Linked DNA regions of Drosophila melanogaster. The protein of the gene in region 1 interacts with the protein of each later gene in a pairwise test. Each region holds a gene or a part of one and is shown on either strand. Other genes may lie near its edges. The genes, in order: CG8159 and CG17855.

Evidence for each region.
Region 2: the proteins of CG8159 (region 1) and CG17855 interact in a two-hybrid assay, tested with the Drosophila melanogaster proteins (2 studies listed by BioGRID).

What each region holds. Positions count from the first base shown.
Region 1 is NT_033777.3:8,724,783-8,728,710, forward strand, and holds CG8159 (uncharacterized protein), read left to right. Parts: upstream 1-2,071; 5' UTR 2,072-2,145; coding exon 2,146-2,265; intron 2,266-2,327; coding exon 2,328-2,875; intron 2,876-2,943; coding exon 2,944-3,189; intron 3,190-3,248; coding exon 3,249-3,534; 3' UTR 3,535-3,588; downstream 3,589-3,928. Other genes in the region: ouib (ouija board), read left to right, coding at 702-821, 870-1,342, 1,406-1,751; ranshi, read right to left, coding at 3,670-3,784, 3,844-3,928.
Region 2 is NT_033779.5:9,538,324-9,542,251, reverse strand, and holds the start of CG17855 (uncharacterized protein), read right to left. Parts: upstream 1,730-3,928; 5' UTR 1,609-1,729; coding exon 1,554-1,608; intron 1,500-1,553; coding exon 1,194-1,499; intron 1,135-1,193; coding exon 989-1,134; intron 935-988; coding exon 677-934; intron 619-676; coding exon 505-618; 3' UTR 1-504. Other genes in the region: Oatp30B (organic anion transporting polypeptide 30B), read right to left, coding at 3,598-3,928.

The DNA.
Region 1 (3,928 bases):
AATATCAAATATGGGTCTAAAAATATTGGTGACATTTTTGTAATTCCTTAAAACTCAGCAACAAAGAGACAACTTGGGAACAAATTTAGCTTTTTTTAGCACGTAGTTTTTAAAAAACACTTTACAGTGGCCATGTTATTGCAAATTTTAGTTTTTGCTATTTTTTTTTGCGTAATTTACATCTGCATTGCAATTGCTTCCTTGAATATAACAAAAGTGCCTATATAGTCTTATCTTATACATACATACTTTATTGGGCTAGTTTTAAAATAAAATATATTCAGACATGAGGTACAAAAATGAACATTGAATTTAGAATCAAATCTTTTTCGAAATACATTTTACGAAACATTTTACGTGGATTATTTCGATTTACCGAAACAGAAATATGAAGCTATATGTTTTGTTTTCAAAAATTGATCCTGCGCATTATTAGCATGCAGGTCGTACTTATTTCAAGCACCCATGAAATGGTTCAGCTTAACGATTTGACCAATATTATTTACACCTATTATTAAGTTTTAATATTATAAGCAGTATCTGTTTTATCAGACTGCTCCAGTTGTTAACAGATCAATAGCTATTTAAATAAAGATTTTGACTTTCAAAAATCCCCGCCTTGAATGAATAATTTATCTGGTTTGCCTCAAAATGTAATCACCATACAATTGCCTTTCCATCAGTCGAGTTTAGTGATCGAGATGCTGAACATCGTGTGTAGAGTCTGCGGAAGGCAGAAAATCTGTGAGAAGAGCCTGAATCTCTTCGATTTGGTCAACCGAAAATATCTAAAGCACTTGCACATGATAAGCGGACTAAGAGTGAGTTAAAAGACGTTTTAAAATTGAGATAAATAATATCAGCACCAGTTGGTGGATTTGGACGATGTTCCTGGTTTCATGTGCCTTTGCTGTCAGGCGGAACTCAGATCGGCATTGGCATTCCGGAAGCTTTGCATTAAGACCCAAACTAAATGGCTAACCATCGAGGACGACTCTTCGTCGGGTGATGAAGATACCAATGACAATTCGGAACTGGAATCGGAAAAATGCGCATTCAGCGATTTTGGGAAAAAGAAAGAAGGCGAGTTGGTTGAAGAAACTTTTCAGGTACTGATTGAAGAGGAGCCCATGGACAAAACTCTGAATAGAGATGCGAAAGCGCAGCTGAGGGAAGATGGAATAGATGAGAAGTGTGTACCTTCACAAAAGATTATCAAAGTATCAACCAAACTGGATGATCAGATTTACATATGCGAGCTGTGCGGGACTCATGCCACATCGAAACCCACTTTCCAGCGCCACATGAGAAAACACAGAGGCGAACGACCATTTGGCTGCAAGTAAACCTCGCTCACAGATTACAACTGTAGGTTCGGTATGCTGATTCCATATTCTCTTTTTAGGGATTGTGATGCCAGGTTTCTCTCTGCTGGCGAACTACGTGCCCACCACCGGGTACATACTGGGGAGCAACCGTTTGCCTGTCGCTTCTGCGAAAAGCGGTATGTCAGCTACATGGGCCGGCTGATCCACGAGCGGACTCACACCAACGATCGACCCTATGTGTGCGAAGAGTGTGGCAAGAAGTTCACCACTGCCTACGTCCTAAAGAACCACATGGTCATCCACACGGGCGAGAGGAATTTCCGATGCGATATTTGCGATCGCTCCTTCCAGAGAAAGGCGCACCTGGTAACGCACACCAGATCCATGATGCACCTCCAAAATGTCAAGAAGCAGAAGTCATGAAGGATTAAATAGCTCAAGCTATGAAATAATAAGATTTACATGCTCCTTGAGATAAAAAGATACCCAAAAGGGGACTATCTTATTTTTATCTTATCGTATTTTTATGAATTTAAGTTGTATACTCAATATTTGCACCACACCTGTTTCTCAAAATGAAATAAATGCTAATGCTTTTAAGTGTGTAGGACACAGAAAACAAAAAATTTGTATAGATTGTTTGATTTTAATTAGTAGCAGCCGTTACGATTTAGTGGTTTTATAAGTCGCCAGTGCTGGACAACGTCTCAGGTGGAAAAGCTAGTGCGCTGCTTCGTGGCAAATGGCAAATCAGTTTTGGGTGGCTGTCTTGTTTACAATTGGAAATTTACTAATTAGAATCGAGTAAGCTGGTAAAATGCTGCAAAATGTGTGCCGCGTGTGTGCCAGCAGCACGGACAACTCGAAATCGTTGAAACTATTTAACAGCGGCGCCTGCAAAGTGCTGCAACAAATCAATTTGCTCACCGGTGTTCTGGTAAGCCTACCCTACGAAACACATTAATTCCTTCAATTAAAATGTTGTATCTTATTTGGCAGCTGCAATGCGAACCCGGTTTACCCGACTGGATGTGCGAGACCTGCCAGACGGATTTGAAAAGCGCCATATCCTTTCGTGATCGCTGCTTGAGGAGTCAGAAGATCTTTGAAGAGTCGCTGGTCAGGAATGAAGAGGACACATTCCGCTCCTCAGTTCGTCGCAGTGCCCGTTCCCAAAGACAGCGGCATGAAGACACCGCTCCAAAGACGCCAGCAAGTCCGCTGGAGGTAATGATTAAGCTGGAGAGCCTGAGCAATGGCGATGAGGAGGATGATGGCATCGATCACCTGGACTCCTGCAACGAAGCAGACATGGAGCTGGCCATTAAAGCGATGTCCAGCTCTACCGAAGATGATGGAACTACCTCACCGGTCAGATTGAAAAGAACCCGACGTCGGGGACTTAAGAAAGGCGGGAAAGGTGAAAATCGCACAAAGGTTACGCTTCCAGTTTTCTTTTGCGATCAGTGCGGCAACAATATTACAGGGAAGTCCTCCTTCGACCGTCACCTACGCAAACACAGCGGAATTAGGCCCTTTCAGTGCGAGTAAGAAAAGCTTTAGCTCGTCAATTGTACAATCTGATAGTTAACTGTGTAACATTGCTCTCATGTAGACTCTGCCCCGCCCGCTTCCTGTCCTCCGGTGAGCTGAAAGGACACCAAGTGATGCACACTGGAGATCGCAAGTTCCAGTGTCGTTACTGTGACCGCACCTACGTCAACTACAGTGGTCGCCTGCGTCACGAGCGGACCCACACAAATGATCGACCCTTTATTTGTGCGCAGTGCGGCAAGAGCTTTACCAATTCCTACATCCTCAAGAACCACATGCTTATCCACACGGGCGAGCGCCTGTTCAGGCTAGTAAACTATGATAAATAGTGCTTAAGTTAATGATCACCTAGCCGATCCTTTGCAGATGTGAGCTGTGCCATCGATCCTTTGCGCGACCCACCCACTTGAAGACTCACTTCCGCTCTAACACTCATAAGCACAACTTGGAGAAATCGATGGCAGACGCGGGTGGAGTTCAGCTGTCACCATCCCAGTCAGCGGATCAGGTCAAATTCGTGACGGAAAAGGAGCCAGAAGCAGAGGCGGATGCCTTTACGATAGAAGTGCCTTTGCCCGCGGAGCAGGAGCAGGATGAGTCTTTGGGCCTGGCTGCTCTGGAAACATCCACTCTAATGTATAGTACAAACTAGACCTTAATGAGTCCATCTCAACCTTTAAAGCCAAATATAGTTCACAATTTGATTATCCGTTTTGATTTTTTTTGTAAAAATTCCTATTTTGGTAATGCAACCGTTTTCAACTAAGAGCTTCTTAAGTGATACCTTTTAGGGTTTATCAAAGATTGTGTCTGCTTTCTGCATGTTTCGTCTGTGAGCATTTGAACGATAATGGGTAGTAAGGTGTGTGTAGCGACTGAATAACTTATCGCAGAGGTCGCACCTGCAAATAGAATAGATTATTATTATTACACTTAAGTACTATTTCGAGTACCCGCTTACCTAAAAGCCTTCTCCCCGGTATGCACGAGCATGTGGTTCTTAAGAATATAGGATGTTGTGAAGGCATTGTTACACTCCTTGCAGA
Region 2 (3,928 bases), on another chromosome or scaffold:
CAACAAGGCCTCCGACTGCATTAAGTCATAAAAATAATTGTCATGTTTTAATGGATAGCGCACCACGTCGAATTGGAAATGGGATGGGAGGGCAGAAGTCGGGGGCTGGAACCTTCACAGCTCGGAGGCCAGATCCTTTTGGCAGGTGATCTGTCCGCAACTCGTTTGATGGCATTAGCAAATAATTTAATTAATCGCCATTAGACGAGGGGTTTCTCTGCGCGCAGTCCAAGAAACCGGGTTACTATATCGCAAAAGTTTTGATTTAACGCAGCCGCCGAGCGTGTTTGTCGAACCTTAAAAGCAAATTCTGGTATGTGCACTGGTTAGGCGTAGTTGGTTCGGAATCTGGGTTAGTCCAGCCGTCTAGTTATTGCTCTCTGTGCGTAAACTTAGTGATCAGTTTCATCAGCTTTAGTATGGCTACTTGTTATTATGATCTATTGGTTGGTTGTTTAGTTTTTGGCTGGGAGCTATGTGATAAGATTAATCCCGCCACTTATCCTAATCAACAGGCTCGCTTTCTTTCTCCAACTTGGCGCGAATTGTTCTTTGACAGCGGGATCTCAACAATTCCCGTCTTAGGGCATTGCTCTCTGTTTCCACAGTTTGTATGAGCTGAATACAAGGAACAATCAGACATATATAATTAATGAGAATTAGGATTAAAGCTTACGCTATGGGTTAAAGCAGCTCTTTCCATAGTTTCTGCGTCGGCATCATCATCCTTGGGGTCAGATTCACTGCTAGAGGAGCAGCGCCGGGCCTGCATAGCTTTATGATGCTGTCCGGGATAGTCTTCCTCATATTTGGGCGGTGGGTCGTCATCGTTGGGTAGCGAGGCCGGCAGACTGGTCGCTCCTTCTTCTGATTTTGCCTTAAAAGCGGCTAATTCGTCCCGCAAGGATTGGTTTTGCATTTCCAGTAATTCCACCTTTAAACGAATCATTTTTACTTAAGCTTGCTAATACGTTCTAAAGCGTCTTACGCTCTCAAGTTCAAAATCCATTTCGTCAATAATGTCGTATGACTCATCAAGGGCTCTTTGAAGTTTTTCTACTTTGGCCTTCAGCTCGTTCAATTCGTTGACATCGCTTTGGGCCGACTGCCTTTTCTCCATAGCCATTCGTTGCTCTAGTAGATTTTTAGAGTATTGATCTAATTTTAAGCAAAAATTCCATTTCCTAACACACCTGCATTTCTTTGATCTAAAGAGGACTTCATTACCAAGCCTGTAAGCGTCTTCTGCCGTTTAAACATCTCCTCCAAAGCACGACAACGTTTCACTTTCTCCAGATAAGCGTCATGCAGTTTGTTGTACTTCTTCTTGTGCTTCTGCAGTGTTTCCACCAGACGATCTCGTTCCTCCTCCAATTGGAAGACCATGATCTTGGCCTCCACATTTATGGCCGCATTGGTGCTGTGGCTGGCAGATGCGCGATTTAGTCGATGGCGCAGCAAAATGTTTTCCTCCTCCAGCTCCGCACTTCTGGACTTTGCTGCAAAGGAGTTTCAATACATGGCGTATACGCAACGACATTGCTCATACGCACCGGCAGCCAGTTCTGCATAGAGAACCTGCATGGTAGATGTAGCACGTTTCTCCATTTGTTCGATTTGTATTACTTCAATTCGTAGTGGTAAAAATTACTCAGCTACTGAAAAATCTTTTGTTGCTGAAAACAGTAAAGATAAGCTATCAGCGAGTTGAATTGCGTGGATATCGCTGGCAGAGTTACTTTGTTAAGTTATTCGATTGCTTACGAACATATAGAATCGATCAAATTTTAAGTCTTAACAATTTAATTAACACTATTATTTTTTTTACCTATGTGGAACCCAAATTGATGGAAAAAGTTTTTTGTATTAATCATCAGAAATGCTAATCAAAAGATAGGCTCGTTAAAAATTAATTATTTCTTGCTCGTCTTGTTGCTTAAATAACAATGTTAATTTAAATATTATATGGTGAACCAAATTTATAAAAAAATTTTTAATAAAAATGTTATCTATATTTAAAGTACGTTAGGTTTGTGTCTTGGATATAAGATACTTGCAAACATCATGGTCACACCATTTATGTAGTTCCCTAATTCGAGTACCATCTTGTAGGGGCGCCACTGTGCCAAAATTTCAAATAACTAAAAAATTCGTTAAAAATAATGTCTTTTAAGAAAAAACAAATTGACTTGTTTAATGCAGTTTTGGTTTATTTTGTTTTTCATTTTAGGAGTCTCATTGTTTTCATTTCATACATGTCCTTATTAGTTTATTTGCAATATTTCTCTAAGTAAAAATATGTATTCCTTAAAACACACTTTTTGAGTAAACATATATATGATATATATATATATGATCTTTTGCACCTAAGACTCACTTTCTGTAGTCCGTTTTAAAATCGCTCTTCAATAATGTATAAGTTATGTTGTACAAACACATATCCCGATACGAATTATTAGCTACGCGTAGGTACTTATTAACGTACAATTGTATACATATATTTCTTATATGGATGTATCTATTTAGTGCTCGAGGAGCTCCTCTCTGCCTCCTTTCCTACTGTATGTGGCTGGTTGGTGTAAACATAGAAATAGTTGCTACTAATTAACCTAGATTGCATCACTTAGGACTACTGGGGGTCTTGCACTCGGGCAGTGCGTAGGAAAACAACCGGATGGATCGATTGAATTCCCATTTCAGTTGAGATACTGATATTATCCGCGTGTATATTTAATTGATATTTTTAAGGCATTATCGCATTTAAAGTACATCATTCGGTTTTAAAATCTAGGCTAGACACTTGATTTTCTCGCTACCATTAAAACAGGGAATTTAGGATTTTTCATAAAACTATTCCAGACCTATTCTTCATTCGAACCCATCGCTATTTTGTCCACAAAGATTCTCTAAATGATGTATTTGCATAAGAATTACATTCAGCGTATTTTCACTTTCTTTCTAATTCAACGTTTTCGTTAATTTTTGTTTTCTATACTCACAAATTGTTTCACAGCACAATTTCCATTGACAATGGTTAAATGTTCGGATTATTAAAACATTGTAATTCGCTATTCGTTTCTCTTTTCTTTCGCCAACTGATTCTCAGTCAATCGTTAAACTTCGAAACCGAGATTGCATAAAGTCGAAATAAAGCGAAACGTATGCAGCAGACTTCAAACACTTAATCGACTTTTTACGGATCTAATCTACACTCCACTAAAATACAATACAAAATATTCCTATCACAACGATCTACTCCTACCTTAAAATATGCTAGTTGCTTTCTAGGATTTCTATTCTATCGCCTGGTTACATAAATATTATCTGCAAGGATTCGTAATCGTATCTGACTCGGATTCGAATTCTGGTTGAATGTTGTATATATCAAAAGATTTCTATTTTCAGATGCCTTCTATTAGTAGATTTGAACACTCGGTCGTAAGTACAATGAGCAGCTGAGGGACGAGTCACTTCATCAGGAAACGGGCATGAACCACATACACTCAAAGTACGATGAGGCGATTGCCGCCGGGAATGGAGACATTGCTGATGTTGCCACAAATCGAAAATCCTAGCTTATAGCTACATGGCCTAGCACTAAGCACACGCGGAACGCTCCTCCTCTTCATCATCGTTATCGTTGATGAGCTCGTTACGATCGTCATCGATCTGGATCTTGTGGTGCGACGTGTTTCGCGTGTGCTGAGGATGAGCGTGCCCTGACACCGAACTGGAGGCAGCAGACTCCGGCAGCACTTGATAATTTAAATCCTTGGAATTGGTTCGCCGATGTCTCAGCACACTTAGGCCCGTGGTACTGGCATCCGTTACTACCTGACCCGAAGCAGGAGTTGCACTAGAAATTTTGGTGTTCAAGTCCTTCGAGTTGTTGCGGGAATGTCCACGTGATCCAGCTCCACCAGCTTCT